Macaca mulatta: one gene and its partners. The protein of the gene in region 1 purifies or fractionates together with the protein of each later gene. This does not show direct contact. Links are inferred from orthologs where the notes say so. Each region holds a gene or a part of one and is shown in the gene's direction. Other genes may lie near its edges. The genes, in order: SUDS3, HDAC2, SAP130, SIN3B and HDAC1.

Evidence for each region.
Region 2: the proteins of SUDS3 (region 1) and HDAC2 purify together in Homo sapiens (affinity purification with mass spectrometry; 5 studies listed by BioGRID and IntAct, with this or other methods). This does not show direct contact. The link is inferred for Macaca mulatta from reciprocal best matches to the Homo sapiens genes SUDS3 and HDAC2.
Region 3: the proteins of SUDS3 (region 1) and SAP130 purify together in Homo sapiens (affinity purification with western blotting; 3 studies listed by BioGRID, with this or other methods). This does not show direct contact. The link is inferred for Macaca mulatta from reciprocal best matches to the Homo sapiens genes SUDS3 and SAP130.
Region 4: the proteins of SUDS3 (region 1) and SIN3B purify together in Homo sapiens (affinity purification with mass spectrometry; 3 studies listed by BioGRID and IntAct, counting the BioPlex papers as one, with this or other methods). This does not show direct contact. The link is inferred for Macaca mulatta from reciprocal best matches to the Homo sapiens genes SUDS3 and SIN3B.
Region 5: the proteins of SUDS3 (region 1) and HDAC1 purify together in Homo sapiens (affinity purification with mass spectrometry; 9 studies listed by BioGRID and IntAct, counting the BioPlex papers as one, with this or other methods). This does not show direct contact. The link is inferred for Macaca mulatta from reciprocal best matches to the Homo sapiens genes SUDS3 and HDAC1.

The regions. Positions count from the first base shown.
Region 1 is NC_133416.1:125,665,821-125,670,132, forward strand, and holds the start of SUDS3 (sin3 histone deacetylase corepressor complex component SDS3), read left to right. Parts: upstream 1-1,461; 5' UTR 1,462-1,608; coding exon 1,609-1,750; exon of another isoform or gene 1,751-2,421; coding exon of another isoform or gene 2,422-2,455; exon of another isoform or gene 2,456-3,429; intron 3,430-4,312.
Region 2 is NC_133409.1:19,019,963-19,023,516, reverse strand, and holds part of HDAC2 (histone deacetylase 2), read left to right. Parts: intron 1-940; coding exon 941-1,082; intron 1,083-3,554. UniProt on the Homo sapiens protein: Histone deacetylase that catalyzes the deacetylation of lysine residues on the N-terminal part of the core histones (H2A, H2B, H3 and H4).
Region 3 is NC_133417.1:9,247,331-9,251,549, forward strand, and holds the start of SAP130 (histone deacetylase complex subunit SAP130), read left to right. Parts: upstream 1-1,384; 5' UTR 1,385-1,577; coding exon 1,578-1,649; intron 1,650-1,936; exon of another isoform or gene 1,937-2,363; intron 2,364-2,443; coding exon 2,444-2,561; intron 2,562-4,219. UniProt on the Homo sapiens protein: Acts as a transcriptional repressor. May function in the assembly and/or enzymatic activity of the mSin3A corepressor complex or in mediating interactions between the complex and other regulatory complexes.
Region 4 is NC_133424.1:17,355,369-17,358,922, forward strand, and holds part of SIN3B (paired amphipathic helix protein Sin3b), read left to right. Parts: intron 1-550; coding exon 551-667; intron 668-1,884; coding exon 1,885-2,123; intron 2,124-2,823; coding exon 2,824-3,007; intron 3,008-3,554.
Region 5 is NC_133406.1:208,542,792-208,546,145, reverse strand, and holds the end of HDAC1 (histone deacetylase 1), read left to right. Parts: coding exon 1-123; intron 124-690; coding exon 691-799; intron 800-892; coding exon 893-1,023; intron 1,024-1,302; coding exon 1,303-1,455; intron 1,456-1,913; coding exon 1,914-1,962; intron 1,963-2,231; coding exon 2,232-2,259; 3' UTR 2,260-2,837; downstream 2,838-3,354. UniProt on the Homo sapiens protein: Histone deacetylase that catalyzes the deacetylation of lysine residues on the N-terminal part of the core histones (H2A, H2B, H3 and H4).

The DNA.
Region 1 (4,312 bases):
CTCCAACAGCACAAAAAAAGAAAATGACTTCATCTTTTGGACACGAGACAGTTCCGAAATCCTAGTTTAAATATAGATGGCAGACCTGGTGAGATCTGAGAATGATTCTTATTTAGAAGGCGCTTCAGAAGATCTCGGAACTCCTGGAAAGACATCTTAGCATTCCATTCTGGAAATTCTTTAGTTTTGTTGGGACAAAAAATCCCTTACAAATAGAGCCAAGATTTTAATTAAAACAAGGTAGTAAATAAATGTCAAAATAAATGGGATGGGAATAATGTTTCATTTTTTAGAAGAGTCCATGGGGGCCAATTCAGAGAGAAATTTGATCACAAAAGGTCTGAGAATGGGAATATTCGGTTCCACCCTGGTTTTCACATGTGTTTTCACTACTGGTTGCGTTTCCTACGGAGACTCGGGTGGAACATGAAAGTGGGGCTACTTTGGACAAACCATTAAAAACCTTATCCTTTTTTCTCGCTACACACAACTAGACCACACTGCTCTTAGCTAAAGGGACACCTTAAATCTATTCTTTGAGCAAAACTTGTAACACCGTGTCCCTCTTTTACTCAGAGGGAATCCCACAAATTAATTCTTGCAGATACTCAGCTCTCCTGGTTTTTAAGCTTCCACGTAGGTCTTGCTTAGCCAAATAACTTCTGGTAGGCAAATTCTCCCCTTCTTCAGTTGAGAGCTCAGAGCAAGCTGTTGGATTAGGCAAAAGCACCTTTGAAAAAATTAATATTCAAGACAGCTGTACCGCGGAAGGCCTGGGTCTCCGAGTCTAAAAAATCAGACTGGACGTTGCTATTTTTTTTTAGGCAAACGACAGCTCGTTTCTCGTTTGTAAAACCGGGGGAACATCTTATCGAATAAACCTTACACAAATAGAAAGGATTCCTAAGGGCTGGGAAAATACTGTTTTGCTGTCCCCAGGATGGAATATCAGCATCCTTGTCTTTTAGCTCTTAATAAAGCTCTAAGTAGTCACAGGAGGAGCCAGGCTGCATGATCACGCACACTCTGGATGTCTAGGTTTTCAGACCTAACAAGGGGGCAGTTCGCGTGGTTCCCCTGCTTAGATTAGAGACCACCTCCACCTGCCAAGGGCCCTTCAAACCCTCCGCCCCTAGGTCGCTAACGATCCCTGCTTTAGTTCTAGCTCCAGGCGCCGCCTGGCGGCTGTTTCCGGATGTCGCCTGCGAGCCTCGGGGTCCTGATGGCTGCTGGGCCTGCCCGTAGATTTGCCTGACTCTAGAGAACCTGGCTCCGCCCCTCCCCCACTATACTTTAAGGATTTTAAGACGGCGATGAAAGGGCTGAAGTTGTGGCGACTGGGCGTCCAGCGGCATCTCCACTCCCCCAAGGATGGCGGAGTCAGGCCGTCGTCGGGCAGCTCTCGACCCGGAAGTCGCCAGCGGCGCGAGGCCCCGGTTGCCGAGCGCGGGCGCGGGGGGCGGAGCTCGGCGGAGACCGGGAAGGGGTCGCCGCGGCTCCCGCTCCTCGAGTTGGGGGCTCCCTCGGACGCTGCTAGGCAGACGGCGAGTACCGAAGGCGGGTGGCCGCGGTGTCCCTGGGCCACGCTCAGCTGCGGTCAGAGGCGACATGAGTGCCGCGGGGCTGCTGGCCCCGGCCCCGGCCCAGGCTGGAGCGCCGCCGGCCCCCGAGTACTACCCCGAGGAGGACGAAGAGCTGGAGAGCGCCGAGGACGACGAGCGCAGCTGTCGGGGCCGCGAGTCGGACGAAGGTGAGTCCTGCAGCTCTCCCGGCGGCCGGGAGCGGAGGTGGGACCGCTAGGGAGGGGGTGGGGCTGCTTGGGAGAGGGGCGGGGCGGCCTCTGGGGCCTGGGGCTGCGTGGAGGGGCCGCCGGGAGTTGCGGGACTCGGGGAAGTTACTCCCCTTCGCGCTGGAGTAGCGGGGAAGCCCTGGGTACGTTACACTTGACTGTGATGGGGAGAGGGGACTCACACGTTGTCACGCTGGGGGTCCCTTTAAGACCCCGTCCTCCCTCCCAGCTGTCTCTGATTGAACCTCACATCTTCACTAGTAGGAATGAGAAACTCATTTACTGAATGCACCGAGTGTAGTTCCCCCGTTTTTTGTGTCTGAGAGCATCAGAGTCCAAAGTTGCCCCTCCCCACCCCCGAAATGCGTGTCAGCTATGCTTTAGGTAGGACAGTATTGATAACTCAGGTTGGTTAAAGGAAAGGGACCTGGAACCAGCCAGATACAGGTTTAAATTTGGCTCTGTCACTTAACTCAGCTTTGTAAACTAAAGTTTTCCAGCCTCGATTTACCCAGCTGTAATGAAGCTGTTTAATTCCCACACCTGACCTAGAAAGCACTTCCTAGGGTCGGTATAGGGATTAAATGACATGCGCATAAAGTACTTGGCCTGGTACAGTAAATACTCAGTAAATGTTCTCCCCACCCGCCCCCCTCCCGGAAACAGGTAAGAGAGGGAGGGGTTTGCTTAATGGTCCCCAGGTGGTGTGTTTTCAGTCCCATGCTCTTTACACTGTCATCACAGCGTCTCAGAGCCTTGCTTTTCAAACTGAGCTTTATAATTTGGCAAGTGTGAGGACGCTATTTTGGAGGGATGGAGGAGGAGGAAGGTGATGAAATATGAAAGATCAAGGGAGAAGAAAGAGGAGATAAAGAGAGATCTATATGTGAATGGAATATTCTGGGACAAAATCGGGCCGTGGAGCAAAAGCTAGACCAGCTGTTTGGAAAGGTGCATACGTTTTATTCATCTGAATTTCCCGAGTGCCAAGTAATGTGGCTGACCATGACAGGAACTCAGGGAAGGCCTCTTAACTGAAGGAGGGGAGAAGGGTTTGTGGGGAATTGGATCTGCAACAGCCTTACAAAAGACAGCTGCATATGCATGACATGGAAAGTTGAAGGACTGCATTCGGTTTAACTCCATCCGAAGACAAGGCTTAACCAGAGATTTTGAATGTGAAGCACTTGCGCTGCATCTCATCCCCACGAGGGGGCGCGGTGGAGCCAAAATTGAGGGTTTTTTTTTCCTTGCAGTATAGGGGCTGTTAAAAATTTGTAGACACCCCAGCCATTAATGCTTGTTCTAAGAGCAATGTTTAAGATGTTTTGAAACAATTTTCGTTTGATCATCTGGCCTCCTCCTTGTTCCCTTTAGTTGTAACTTGGAAAATATTTGTGTCAGATTACCTTTTTTATTGTATACAGTTGGCGCTCCATGTCTGTGAATTCTACATCTGTGAATTCAACCAAGCGCAGCTCAAAAATATTCCGGAAAAAATTGAATCCGTACTGAACATGTGCAGACTTTTTTTGTTATTCCTAAACAGTGTAGTGTAACAACTACTTACATAGTATTTACATTTTATTGGATATTGTAAGTAACCTTTTTTTTTTTTTTTTTTGAGGTGGAGTCTCACTCTATCACCCAGGCTGGTGTGCAGTGTCACAATCTCAGTTCACTGCAACCTCCATCTCCGGGGTTCAAGCAATTCTCCTGCCTCAGCTTCCGGAGTCGTTGGGATTACAGGCACCTGCCATCATGCCTGGCTAATTTTTGGGGTTTTATTTGTTGTTTGTTTTGTTCTTTTTTTTTTTTTTTTTTTGAGATGGAGTTTCGCTCTTGTTGCCCAGGGTGGAGTGGAGTGCAGTGGCGCGATCTCAGCTCAAGCCATTCTCCTGCCTCAGCCTCTCAAGTAGCTGGGAGTAGCTGGGATTACAGGCATGCGCCACCACCCCCAGCTAATTTTGTATTTTGAGTAGAGAGGGGGTTTCTCCATGTTGGTCAGGCTGGTCTCAAACTCCCGACCTCAGGTAAACCACCTGCTTTGGCCTCCCAAAGTGCTGGGATTACAGGCGTGAGCCAATGCACCCGGCCTTAACTTTTGTGTTTTTAGTAGAGATGGGGTTTCTCTATGTTGGCCAGGATGGTCTGGAACTCCTGGCCTCAGGTGATTCACCCGCTTTGGCCTTCCAAAGTGCGGGGATTACAGGCATGAGCCGCCATGCCTGGCCTGGATATTGTAAGTAATCTAGAGATGATTTAAAGTGTACTGTTGTCCGGGCATGGTGGCTCATGCCTGTAATCCCAGCACTTTGGGAGGCCGAGGCAGGCGGTTCAGTTGAGGCCAGGAGTTCGAGACCAGCCTGGCCAACATGGTGAAACTCCGTCTCTACTAAAAATACAAAAATTAGCTGGGCGTGGTGGTGCACCCCTGTAATCCCAGCTATTTGGGAAGCTGAGGCAGGAGAATTGTTTGAACCCAGAAGGTGGAGGTTTCAGTGAGCCGAGATCGTGCCACTG
Region 2 (3,554 bases), on another chromosome or scaffold:
TTCTTATGAGAATAGTCTCATGAGTGCTTAGTCTGGAAATATCAATTTACATTGTATTGTTTTATTTAGCACAGCTATGGCATCATTACATAATAAATACAATGCTTTGCCATCTAATAACAAAATCTCACTTCATTGTACTTCAGAAGGATGACATGAGAAGTCCATTTTCCCTTTATTTTGACATGAGTATACACTGGTAACAAAATGTCATGATATGGTGATTCATGTGGCTCCTAAACTGTGTTTGAGTTACAACTGTGTCATTGTTATCTGTGGTGTTCCAAGCACCAGTTTGAAATGATGAGAGTACCACATGTAGCCTCTGTCACAGCTAACCAATTCTGAAGTTCAAATGGAGCCATGGGTAATAAACAATTGAGCATGGCCATCTTTCAGTAAAACTTTTTCTATGGACACTGAAATTTGAATTTTTTAATTGTCACATGTCAGAAAATACTCTTGTTTCGGTTTTGTTTTTAAACCATTTAAAAAATATAAAAACTATTCTTAGTTCAAAGCTGAAAAAAGAGGCAATTGGCCAAATTTGGGCCATGGGCTATAGTTAGCCAATCCCTATTTTATAATATTGAAGATTTATTACAGAGGTGTTTTAATTAAAGTAACAATCTTGAGTATGGTATAATCTTCAGTTTTTCATATATTAGAAACATGTGCTATGTTTTTGAAGCATGTAGAATGGAACAAATTTCACAAAGAGTAAATATGTATTTTTTAACCTACATAGGGCCATAAGTGGGTATTTAAAGGCCTAAGGCTCAAACCTCAGATATTTGAATAGCCTTTTAGGCCGAATTTAAAAGGTGATTAAACATCCTGGAATGCTAGAGCTCAAAAATAGGTTTCCTGAATTTGTGGTGCTTCTTCCCATCTTATAACCTTTAAAGAAAAAAACAAAAACTTATGGATTTGCTTTCAGGTATCATCAGAGAGTCTTATATATTGATATAGATATTCATCATGGTGATGGTGTTGAAGAAGCTTTTTATACAACAGATCGTGTAATGACGGTATCATTCCATAAATATGGGGAATACTTTCCTGGCACAGGAGACTTGAGGGTAAGACTAAATTCTGTCTTAATAAATACTGTGAGACGAACCTAGGAGATCAGTAACCTTATACTTGAAGTAGAATTTTTCCTGAGTTAATAATTTGAAACTTGTATGCAGAATTCAATTACTTCATATGCAGTAACATTTGCTAAAATTCACTGTTGCTAACTAAGCAAAAATTTAGTGAGAACTTAAGGACTGTTTTTTTTTTTTTCCTCAGCTGTTTTCTTTGGTTGAATAAATATTTTTGAATATCCACAAAGCACGAAGCCCTTCTCTTGATGTTCAGTTTGAATCTTCAAAACTACCTGATGGTAGCCTATGTTGCTATTGATTATAAGGATCGGTGGAATAAAATAGACTAGGTCTTTTTAGGTTCTTCTGCTCCTCTCTTTTGTGATTGGTCTTGACTTTTAGTAGGTCTAATTTTAATCTTTTTTTTTTCCTTAAACTTCTAAAATTGGTAATGTATTTACGTAGAGAAAGAATAGTGTAGCCCTGCCTGCCTGTTACATTAAGTGTATTTCTATTTTATTTCTGTTTCTTTTTCCATTTGATGTTATGACTGTGAAAACCACTGGTCAAATCCTATTTCTGTAAGCTCATTGAAGGTTTTTTGCCTCACCACACTTTTTTTGAACCTAACTACACACATGTTGAAATTTATTCAATAATTTAAACAGCTGTTTTTAGTTCAGCCTGGATTATATGGGAGATTTGTCTTATATGGCATTGAACAAAGTTCTAAACTATTTTATTAAGGTTATTTTTCACGTCTATGGTATGTCGTTACAGTTTAGCAACCAGAATTTAAAGAGTTGCCATAAAGTATTCTTAAGCTGTATGGCTTTTCTTTGTTAGACCACAATGTGATCCTTTCTCAGTAAACTCTTTGAGTAAAAGAGTTACCTTAGTAAAACTTTTCCATACTTACAAATGGGTGGGAGGTCAAATGTTTGGTTTGAGTTTAAATTATTTAGCTTTTAAAATTGCAGATTTGTAATTTCAGTTCCTTGCCAGTAAACTCCTTCAATTTATCCTTTTCGCCACCTGGTCATACAGACTAGTGGTTCTCAAACAGTGGACCCTAAACTGAGGAGAAAGCAGACCAGCATCACCTGGGAACTTGTTAGAAATACACATTCTTAGGGCCCAGAAACTGGGTGATTTGAGAATCACTGCTGTAAACCGATAGAATATATTTGTCAGCAACCATTACATCCTAGTGGAAGTCAAGCAAAAGTCTTCTCTGTTTTAAGCTTAAAGAATAAGACAGTATCTTCGCAGTATGATCCTAGTTTATCTCAGAAGTGGAAAATGGAAGCCTCATGTAATTTCTGACAGGTGAATGTCACTATGGTCTCTTCTCAGTTATTATTCATAATTCTTACAGTTTGAAGTTTTTGAAAATATTAGAGAATGCATGTTTTAGAAGGATTTGAGACTGGTTTTCAACATCTCTTTTTCTTAAGATTTTATAGTCGCTGTATTAAATGATGTTTTAAGGATAACATTTGAATATTTTAAGCATGTCCCCATAATTTTGTGAGAGAATTAAAATCAGTCATTACATTATACGTACAGCTGTATTTGGACTTTCTGTGTAACTCACCTGTATCTTTGGATGTTAATTTAAAAAACACTCGCTTTTTCTGCCTGCTAATTCATTCTAATGCTGAAAAGAAGGCTACGCTGAGCTTAGCTCATTGTTGAAACTCTGTTTGCTTTAATTCGAGTAGTCAGTGGAAGAAAGAAAGGTGGCGTAGTAGCAGTTGCAGAATGAGACCTGGAAAAGATAAAGCTTAGTCTAACAAGGGCAGCAGCTCTGAGTTGCCAGCTAGTTAGTGGCAGTTAGGATGAGAAGTGCTGACCAACTTTTCTGCATTCTGAAATCTTAGAGTAAAAATATATTTCGTCTGTGTTTTAACTGTGCAGTAGGAGTGTAAAGATTCACTATACTTTGTCTTTTCCATATTTGTATGGCTTATATTTAGTTACTAAATCTTAATAAAAATTTAGACTGCAAGAAAAATTGGGAGAGGAGGTGTGTAATTTTGCTTGCTTTCCCCTCGTTGGATGATGGGTCTCATAACTCTAATATTGAGGGTAAATTTTGCTTTTGTGAAATTGAACTGAAGCTAAGACCATTCCATGAGAGGTTCAGGAAGAACTTGCACAAGTGCTAGTAATCCTAAAAATTCATGGATCTTCAGACATTATAATTTAACACACATAAGAATTAGGCACCCCACACCCCAGCCAGGCACGGTGGCTCGTGCCTGTGATCCCAGCACTTTGGAAGGCTGAGTCAAGTGGATTACCTGAGGTCAGGAGTTCGAGACCAGCCTGACCAATGTGATGAAACCCTGTCTCTACTAAATACAAAAAAGAATTAGGTGGGCGTGGTGGCATGCACCTGTAGTCCCAGCAACTTGGGAAGCTGAGACAGGACAATTGCTTGAACCGAGGAGGCGATCT
Region 3 (4,219 bases), on another chromosome or scaffold:
CTACAGGCGCATAAACTCCAACCCTGAACCCCAAACAAAATGACAAAATAAAACTGCCCCCTTCAGCGCCTTCATAATCTGGAAAGTGCGCGCAGGTGCGCCCCGGCCGCCCGGAGTCCTGCATCCTGCCGGCCTGCTTTCACAGAGCCGCGCCCGCGCCGCGCCTGGCGGCTCCCGCCGCGCGTAGGCTGTGCCGACCGCGGTCCCCGGTGGGGACACCGAGTCCCACTCGCGGCGTAGGGAGGCGGGCACCGTCACGACACTGGTCCGGCCCGCGGATCCCTTGGCCGCCGCAGTTGGCCTCCATTACCCTTTCCCGCGCCGCGCCTCCCCGCGGGGAAAATGAAACCTAGTGCCCTCAGGTTGAGACACAGGGTGGGATCCACTGTCTTCTCACTTAGCCAAGAGAAAAGACAGAACCGACTTCAGACAGCAAAGGGGTGTGTTGCCCTGGCCGGGTCGCCTGCGGCCCCGCCCCGGCGCTCTCCACCTCCTTCGCGGCCCGCCCTCTTGGCTCCCGCGACTACATTTCCCAGAGGACGCCGCGGCTCCGAGGGGCGGGCCCGTCCGCTCTCCCGCTCACGACCACCGGCGACTGGCTGACTCGGCAGGGGGCGGGGCCTGCGCCAGCCAATAGACGGGAGGCTCGTTACGGCGGCGGAAGCAGCGGCGCTGGAGTGAGGGGTGGGGGGCAGAGTGCTAGCTCCCCGGCGGTGGCTGCGGGTCGGGAACCTGGGGACGTCGGCCCCGCAGACAGAGAGCGCGCGGGAGCGAGCTCAAGGCGGCGCGGCGGCCACTCGGCGCAGCACCCAGGTAATGGCGGGACGGGAGCCCGGGAGGGAAGGGGAGGAGACGAGGGGGCGGGGCGGCCGAGCCGGGCTGCAGCGTCCGTCCCGTTGCGCGTCCCCGGGGAAGGGCAGAGGATCCTCGTCTCCTGCAGCTCGGACCGCGGCTCTTTGGCGAGCTGGGCACGGCAGTTGGGCCGGCGACAGGGGCTGGGTGTCCTGTGGCGAGGAAGGGAGAGGCACCGGGAGGGGTGGGCTGACCCGGGCGTGGGGGCGTGGCGGACGTGGGCCTTGGCGGGGAAGCAGAGCGGTCGGGGGAGCGCGGGCGGGCGGGCGGCCCAGGGAGTTTGGCTCCTGGAGCAGTTTAAAGTGACTCTCCACATCCGGGCCCTGCGCCCGCCGCTTTCAGACCCTGGCCAAGGCGGGGCCTCCCCGCTCCCCGCCCCCCTCGCCGGGGGCGCCTGTCTTCCTCTGCCATTGGTTCAGCCTCGAGGGGTTTGGGCTGCCCCGGCCAGGCTCGCGCCTGATTGGCTGGCGGTCGGCGGGAGGGTGGGGCGGGTCCTGACCGTGTAGGTCGCTGTGGATTGGTCCTGGGCCTCCACTGACGCGCCGGGCGTGGGGCCAATGGGCGGGCGGGGGAGGCAGGGGCAGGTTCGGGGGAAGAGGACTGCGAGCACAGCGGCGGCCGGGTGTTGGGGGTGAGTGGGGCCAGCGGGGCTGGACAGCGGCGGGCCCCGGGCGCCGCCGCCGCGATCCCTCCCCGCGCCCCCCGAGCGCATCGCCGCCGCCGAGATGGGCCCTCCGCGGCACCCCCAGGCCGGCGAGCTAGAAGCGGGCGGTGCGGGCGGCGGGCGGCGGCTACAGGTAAAGAGGCACAGTGCTCGCCTTGTGGTCGGGTCCCCAGAACGCCCGTCCGCACCCCTACCCCGGAGACGGGGATCTCGCACTCCGAGGTGTCTGGAAATCGGCGTCCTCCCATCTCAGCGGGGGCTTCGCGGTGGGGTGGGGTTGCGGGCGAATCAGGGGAGATCGCTTGGCTCCTGGGGGAAAAGTGGGGGACGATTTTAGGGAAGATGGAGAAGGTGTAGGGTCCTCTGGCTCTGTGGGGGGTCTATGAAAGGGAAAGAAAAGGAAATCCGTAAATGGAAGCCTTTGCAGAAAAGCGTTGGAGAATTCCTTTTGCATCAGGTCTGAATGTAAAACATCCGATCCTTTCTTAGGGCTGGGTATCTTCCTCCGAATGTTCCTATGACATGCTAATCACAGTTCTGTTCACCTTGGTGTGAGGTTTGAGTGTTTCGAAGAGACATGCCATTTTCCATAAAACTTTACACAGAGAAATACACATGCATTGTGGTAATACCTGTCATGTGACTCTTGTACAGGATTCAATGGTGATTTTTTTAGCATGGCAATCCACAAGTATTTATGGAGGGTTATAGTACACGCCAGCTCCGTATAAACGATATTGGTAGAAAACTTAGGTAGTTTAGATAATGTCTGCATTTATATTGATCCTACGTTATTGTTTTTAAATAGATGATGCAACATTTGCTTTTCCGAGGGACTATCTCATAGGTACTAAAGATGCTTTAATTTCTCAATATTGATTCAGATCTCAGAATCTAGTAATAACCATATAACTGTATGTACTGCAGGTGGAAATGAGTTCTCAACAGTTTCCTCGATTAGGAGCCCCTTCTACTGGGCTGAGCCAGGCCCCTTCTCAGATTGCAAACAGTGGTACTGCTGGATTGATAAACCCAGCTGCTACAGGTGAGATATGTAATATTCTAATATATTTCTTCCAACTTTACGAATATTGCCAGTTTTCTAACTTAAAAATTAGCAGACTCCTTCTAGGATTTTAGTAAATTCTTATTTCTTGAATTTGAAGAAAGGGTATATTACTATTCTAATTTAAACAAGGCTTTTTTTCTTCCTGCTTTAAGCACTTCGTTCACATAGAGTACACATGCAACTTACAGCGAAGCATGCCTGTAAGAACTATTTTTGAAATGCATTAATATATTCATGTTTAATTAATGTCCAAGAGTATAGCATTAGTGCTGTGAGGGAGCCCAGAGTTGTTTAAGGAACAGATCTTGCCTTTTAGGAGTTTATTATCAAGGAAAATAAGTGGAAAACAAAGGATATGCAGTTTCCCTATGGTGTCTGTGGGGGATTGGTTCCAGGACCCACCTCAGATACCAAAATCCATGTTGCTCCACTTTGTGATGTAAAATGGTATAGTGTTTACATATTACCTGTATCTATCCTCCAGTATACTTTAAATCAGCTGTAGATTACTTGTAATGCCTACTACAAAGTAAATAGTATGTAAATAGTTGTTATTCCGTATTGCTAAGAGAACAGTGAGAAGACAAAGAAGTCTGTATGTGCTTAGTACAGATGCAACCATATTTTATTTTTCCCCCTGAATATTTAACATCCAAAGTTATTTGAATTCAGATCAGGGAACCCATGGATACAGAGGGCTGATTGCATACACACAGATAAGACTTGGTTTTTCGTCTCATGCCCTTTGAGTGCTAGAAATCAGTGGTTCTCAGTGACAGGTGTTTGGGGAGGTGGTTTTTCCTGCAGGGGAATACTTGGCAATATCTAAAGACAGTTTGGTTGTCACAACTCAACAGTGCTATTGGCATCTGGTAGGTAGAGGCCAGGGATACTGCTTCACATCCTACAAGATAATGGGAAGCCCCCACAACAGAGAAGTATCCAGTCTAGTCAGCAGCGCTGAAGTTGAGGAATTCCTTCAAATACTCTTTTTCGCTACGTATTAAGTAAATATGTGACATTGCAAAGTGGAATAAACTATTTTCTATTCCTTTTTCTTCACCACTCGATTCTGGTGTTCCTTATGGTAAATGATACCACTGTCTACTCATTGCTTAAACCAGTAGCTGAGGCTTATTTTTTTGCAACAGCATCTCATGCTGTCATTCAAGCGGGAGTACAGTGGCCTAATCACAGCTCACTGCAGCCTCGATCTTTTGAGCTCCCCAGCTTATTTTATTTTATTTTACTTTATTTTGTTTTATTTTATTTTTTTGAGACAGAGTGTCACTCTTTGGCCCAGGTTAGAGTGCACTGGCTCTATCTCAGGTCCCTTCGGTCTCTGCCTCCTGGGTTTTAGCGATTCTTGTGCCTCAGCCTCTGAGTAGCCGGGATTACAGGCATGCGCCACCATCCCTGGGTAATTTTTTTTTTTTCTTTTTTGTATTTTTAGTAGAGACAGGGTTTCACCATGTTAACCAGGCTGATCTCGAACTCCAGACCTCAAGTGATCCACCTTCCTTGGCCTCCCAAAGTGCTGGGATTACAGGCATGAGCCACCGCGCACAGCCACATGTTCAGCTAATTTTAAATTTTTTTGTAAAGAGGGGATCTCACAGTGTTGCCCAAGCTGG
Region 4 (3,554 bases), on another chromosome or scaffold:
GCAAAGTCTGAGATAGTTGCTCTCTGACCCTTTGCAGAGAAAATTTACCAATATCTGAAATGAAATCAGCCCTCCATATCTGCAAGTTCCTCATCTGTGGTTTCAACTAACCATGGATTGAAAATAGGTGGGGAGAGAGAAACCAAAAAATAACAGTACAGCAATAAAACGTAATCCACATTTTAAGAATGCAGTGTAACAATGATCTACACAGCATTTACATTGCATTAGGTATAAGTATTCTAGAGATGATTTTGCATAGGTTATATGCAAATAGGATTCCATTTGACATCAGGGACTTGAGTATCTGTGGATTTGGGTCTCCAGGGGTGGTTCTGGAACCAATCTCCCAGGATACCAAGGGAGTGTTCACTTGACCAAAGTCATGTTTTCCCTTAAAAACTTGATTCACCTTCCCATTTGTATAAGGCAGTTGCCTATCATATAATCAGGATTGTATTATGTATCTTGGTACTTTGTACACTGGCTAACAGTAAATCTTAGCTCCTGGGGCATGCAGCGCCGTTCATGGCGTTTCCTCTCGATGCAGGTACTGAATGACACCTGGGTCTCCTTCCCCTCCTGGTCTGAGGACTCCACCTTCGTCAGCTCTAAGAAGACACCGTACGAGGAGCAACTTCACCGCTGTGAGGACGAGCGCTTCGAGGTGTGTGTGGTGCTGTGGCCAGGCCTCCCAGCACATGCCTGTCCCCCTTCTCCACCGGACATGCGTCCTGATCCTCCTCCACTGTGCCAGTCTCCTTTTAGGAGCAGGGATTGCAGCACATTCCAGCAGCTCCTGGAAGCTTCCTGCTGGGTCTTGCTGGCCTCTGGGCTGGCTACCAGATGGCACTTTTTTTTTCTGTTTAAAAATTTTGTTTGGACTGGGTGTGGTGGCACACACCTGTAATCCCAGCACTTTGGGAGGCCAAGGCAGGTGGATCATTTGAGCTCAGGAGTTTGAGAACAGCCTGGGCAACATGGTGAAATCTCATCTGTACCAAAAATACAAAAATTAGCCGGGCTTGGTGGCGGGTGCCTGTAATCCTAGCTACTCGGGAGGCTGAGGCAGGAGAATTGCTTGAGCCAGAGAGGCCGAGGCTGCAGTGAGCCGAGATCAAGCCACTGCACTCCACCCTGGGCAATAAAATAAAAATAAATTTAAATTACGTTAAAGAAACTTTTATTTATTTATTTATTTTGCTTGCCCTGTCTCCCAGGCTGAAAGTGCAGTGGCACAATCATGGATCATTGCTGCCTTGACCTCCCAGGGTCAAATGATCCTCCCACCTCAGCCTCCTGAGTAATTGGAACCACAGGTGCACACTACCATGCCCAGGTTGTTGTTGTTTTTTTAACTTTTTTTGTAGAGATGAGGTCTCACTATGTTCCCCAGGCTGGTCTCACACTCCTGGCCTCAAGCGATCCTCTTGAGTAGCTGGGATTACAGACACACCACCATTCCTGGCTAATTTTTGTATTTTTAGTAGAGACGGGGTTTCACCATGTTGATCAGGCTGGTCTCGAACTCCTGACCTTGTGATCTGCCTGCCTCAGCCTCCCAAAGTGCCAGGATTACAGGCGTGAGCCACCGCACCGGGCCATAAATTTTTTTAATTAGCCAGGCATGGTGGTGCACACCTATATTCCTAGCTACTTGGGAAGCCAAGGTGGGAGGATCGTTTGAGCCCAGGAGGTTGAGGCTGCAGTGAGCTGTAATTGTGCCACTGCACTTCAGTCTGGGTGACAGAGCAAGACCCTGTTTCCTACACACACACACACCACCCCCCTCCAAAAATCCTCTGCGCTCTGAGGTCCCAGGCTCCTCCCTGAGGCCTCTTGAGTTCCCCAGTGGCTGACCCCTTCCTGCCTTCCTTTCCATAGTTAGACGTTGTCCTGGAGACGAACCTGGCCACGATCCGCGTGTTGGAAAGCGTGCAGAAGAAGCTCTCTCGGATGGCGCCCGAAGACCAGGAGAAGTTCCGGCTGGACGACTCCCTCGGGGGCACGTCAGAGGTGATCCAGCGCCGTGCCATCTATCGCATCTATGGCGACAAGGCCCCGGAGATCATCGAGAGCCTCAAGAAGAACCCCGTCACCGCTGTCCCTGTTGTCCTGAAAAGGTGCCCTGCGGCATCCCGCCTTCCCTTCCCTTCCCTTCCCTTCCCTTCCGTGCCGCAGGGAGCCCCTGGAGAGCTTGTTAGTGCTGTTTGTCAACAGGGGTAATCTCCAGGGGAGGTCTCAGGCCTAGGGCTGGCTTCCTGTATTTCCCAGTCTCCCACTCCTGAGAGGAGAGCACTGTGACCTTCTAGGACTTTCCACCTTGCACATAATCACATCTAGACATCTAAACTGCTTTAAGAGTCAGATGCAACCACTACACTGTGGCTTGCATTTTATTTAACGCTGCATCTCGGACACCATCTGGTGCTAGTGAACAGGTATTTATCAAGTGGCCACTTTAAGGCAGGTGCAATGCTTGGCCCTGGGGTTACGCAGCTGAGTGAGGCAGACCCAGTCCCTCTCCTCTTGGGACTCACAGCTGAGCAAGGGACCTGAGTGGCTGAGCTAGCAGCCATGCGGAGAGTGCTGGGTGCCTGGGAGGAGGCGGAGGACCCAGGAAGCTGGCCACATTGGCTCTGTAAGGCCATCACGCCCTTCCTCTGACGTGCACAGAGCCCACTGCATAGACTAGGCTGGGAGCTGGCTGGGCTTGGATCCTGGGCCCCCAGTCAAGTCCCAGAGGAAGACAGGCCAGCCCTGGGATGCTTCAGGGAGGATGCCCTGGCTTGTCCCTGGTGCTGACCCCTCTTCTCCCCACAGGCTGAAGGCCAAGGAAGAGGAGTGGCGGGAGGCCCAGCAGGGCTTCAACAAGATCTGGCGGGAGCAGTATGAGAAGGCGTACCTCAAGTCCCTCGACCACCAGGCTGTGAACTTCAAGCAGAATGACACCAAGGCCCTGCGCTCCAAGAGCTTGCTCAACGAGATCGAGAGCGTCTACGACGAGGTACAGCCTTCCCTAGCCCTGCCGGCTGGCGGGGGTGGGATCCTGGCTCTCCCGACCGCCAGGTCTGTGCCTCTGTTTCCCTGGTGCTTAGGTGGGGTAGCGGCATTGCTGTGTCGAGGCGAGGGTTCATGTCTCTGTGATGCCCAGCCTGCGGCCTGCCCTAGGAGAACCAGCAACTCTGCCATTGTCTGTTTGTTTGTTTAGAGGCAGAGTCTCGCCCGCTCTGTCGCCCAGGCTGGAGTGCAGTGGTGCGATCTCAGCTCACTGTAACCTCCACCTCCCCGGTTCAAGCGATTCTCCTGCCTCAGCCTCCCGAGTAGCTGGGACTATAGGCACGTGACACCACACCTGGCTAATTTTTGTATTTTTAGTAGAGACGGGGTTTCACCATGTTGGCCAGGCTGGTCTTGAACTCCTGACCTTGTGATCCACCCGCCTCAGCCTCCCAAAGTGCTGGGATTACAGGCGTGAGCCACCGTGCTCGGCCAACTCTGCCGTTGTCTGGAGAAATCTCTGTCCCTCCTGTGGGACAGTGACGGACTTCAGC
Region 5 (3,354 bases), on another chromosome or scaffold:
AATTTGTCAAGAGCTTTAACCTGCCTATGCTGATGCTGGGAGGTGGTGGTTACACCATTCGTAATGTTGCCCGGTGCTGGACATACGAGACAGCTGTGGCCCTGGATACGGAGATCCCTAATGGTAATAGCTGCAGGGCCAGGTTTGGCTGGGCTGGGTGGGAGCTGGAGCTCATCTGTCCTTAAGTTTATAACCCCTTCCCCGTTGGTCATATGACCACTGTTCTTCTGATACTAGTCACTGAGTCCCCTGCATGTCCTCTTGTGATCAGCAGACCATAACCATCACTTTTTCCCTAGTCCTTTTTAGCTCTGTCCCCTCTCCCTTCTGCTTTTGGTCTGGACAAAGTTCTCAGTGGTAATTTACAGCTTTGGAATTTCTGCTCTGTAGAGTAACTGGAGTAGTGAGTGAAGGGAGCGTTCATAATGAGCATGGGCTCAAGTGTCCTAAACCAGGAACATGGACCTTCTCCTAGCGACATATACACCACTGGTATAGACATAGAGTGATGTTAACAAGATGGAAATCCCATAGGTACCCGTGTCTCACCGTGTCTTGGAGGCATTCTCCTCTGTTTGACAGATGGATCAAGGGCCCAGAGAAACCTACAAATGCTTTAGGGTGCTTACGTGCAAATGGTTCAGGTGCGGTGGCCAGGTCTCTTAACGGTCTTCTCCCTGCCCCAATCAGAGCTTCCATACAACGACTACTTTGAATACTTTGGACCGGATTTCAAGCTCCACATCAGTCCTTCCAATATGACTAACCAGAACACGAATGAGTACCTGGAGAAGATCAAGTGAGTATATCCTCCAGCCACCCCTTGGTTGAACATTCCTGACTTTGGTTTGTCCCTGACCAGAGCCCTGCTACTCTCTCCCACTGGCCACAGACAGCGGCTGTTTGAGAACCTTAGAATGCTGCCGCATGCACCTGGGGTCCAAATGCAGGCGATTCCTGAGGACGCCATCCCTGAGGAGAGTGGCGATGAGGACGAAGAAGACCCTGACAAGCGCATCTCGAGTAAGACCTAGACGCAGAGCCCTATGCCTTCCACTCAGTAGGCAGCCCCCACTTCCACCACCATTCCTGGCTGCACACTCTCCAAGCTCCCCACCTTGGAGAAATCTGTTTCCAGTTCCAGTGCCTGTAGGAACAGGTTAGGGAGCCTGAGCTCCTCCCTCTTCTCTGGTTCCCTTTCCCTTGGTGTCTCTTGGAGGGCCTGCAGGGAAGCACTGGGCATAGATGCTGAGCTAGATCGGCACCCGCCTGCTCTCACCCATGCTTCCCACTCCCTCCCAGTCTGCTCCTCCGACAAACGAATTGCCTGTGAGGAAGAGTTCTCCGATTCTGAAGAGGAGGGAGAGGGGGGCCGCAAGAACTCTTCCAACTTCAAAAAAGCCAAGAGAGTCAAAACAGAGGATGAAAAAGAGAAAGACCCAGAGGAGAAGAAAGGTGGGTTTGGGTTCAGCCGGGACTTGGGTCTTGAGCCTGAGAGGATGAATCTATGTAGGGCAGTGGGAGGAGGGAGTGACTCAGGCCCTGCCAGCTCCTGTGGGGCTCTTCCTCAGTTCCTTGAGCCTTTCAGTGTCTCCCAGAAGTGGCAGGGCCCACAAAACAACGAACCTCTACTGGCCAAGCACGGCTCTCACATACCACCCAAGCCCTTTTCCCAGCACTGCACCCCAGTTTCCCAGGGGGCTGCCTCCGCCCACCAGATTCTGGCTGTAGCAGGCTGGGAAACCGGTCCAACCTGTTCTCTACAGGGCTCACTGGGAAGACCAGGGATGGGCTTTTCTCTCTTTTATGTCCAGTGAGCGTAGTGTTGGGGAAGGGGTCTCAGGGTAAATGAAGACCTCACGGGTCTTTCCAGAGGTGCTGCCCTTAGCCATCCCTGTACTCTTGTGTTCTAGAAGTCACAGAAGAGGAGAAAACCAAGGAGGAAAAGCCAGAAGCCAAAGGGTGAGGAACGAGCTGCCTGCAGCCATCTCCCTGGCATTGGAGCACCAGCCCCTTTGTCCCACTACTCTGAAGAAAGGCACAGGGACAGCTGGTCCAGCTTACAAAGGCCTCTTTCAGGGACCAGTCTGTCCAGCTCTGCAGTTCTAGGCAGAGCTAGGAGCCCCAGCCCCCAGTAGTCACCTGGGATCCTGTGGAAGTCACTGTGTCTGCACTTTTGCCCCGAGGCTCTGGGCTGGGTCATCTCATGCCAGTCTCTGCTCTCTCCACAGGGTCAAGGAGGAGGTCAAGTTGGCCTGAACAGACCTCTCCAGCTCTGGCTCCCTGCTGAGTCCCTCACCTTTCTCCCCCAACCCCTCAGATTTTATATTTTCTATTTCTCTGTGTATTTATATAAAAATTTATTAAATATAAATATCCCCAGGGACAGAAACCAAGGCCCTGAGCCCAGGGCAGCTGTGCTGGGTGAACTCTTCCAGGGGCCACATTGCCACCCATTCTTCCCCAGTTCTTAACTTTGAACCATAAAGGGTGCCAGGTCTGGGTGAAAGGGATGCTTTTATGCAACCGTAAGACAAAATCCTGAAATGCGAAGTGCCTGCTTAGTAGCTTTGGAAAGGTGCCCTTATTGAATATTCTAGAAGGGGTGGCTGGGTCTTCAAGGATCTCCTGTTCTTTTCAGGCTCCTAAGGTAACATCAGCCATTTTTAGATTGGTTCTGTTTTCATACCTTCCCACTGGCCTCAAGTGAGCCAAGAAACACTGCCTGCCCCGTCTTCTCCTAATTCTGCAGGTGGAGGTTGCTAGTCTAGTTTCCTTTTTGAGATACTATTTTCATTTTTGTGAGCCTCTTTGTAATAAAATGGTACATTTCTATATCCTCCTGAGCTTGTTTCCTACGTGTCATTGGGTTGGTTTCAACTCTTACTTCCCTGCCCTTCTGGTGTCCATGAGTATTGGGGCAACCCCCTGAACAAGAAAACCCCATAAACTTACCTGCCTGCCTTAACTCCTCCCTTGAGGTTTGAGGTGAACTACTTTCCACCAATCTTCTCACCCTACCCCCAGAAGACCACTCATTAAAGCACCACTAAAGGGACGACATTTATTCCTTTTCCAAATGTTACAGTAAAACCAGGTGGAAGAGAATGGTTTTAGCAGTTAGAAAAAAAAAAAAAGTACAAATCTGGGGTTTGGCCATTAAAAGTTATTTACAACAATGGGAGAAAAAAAGACAACAAGAAGTTGTTTCACATTACAGACCTCCCCCCACCCCAAAGCCTAATACTTGCTTACCAAGTCAAAAAAGAGACACAGTTGATTCACAAGCTGGAGGTTTGAACTTGAGTAAGACATTTATAAAAACCTAGACGGGGCAGTGTCCTCCCCAGCCCA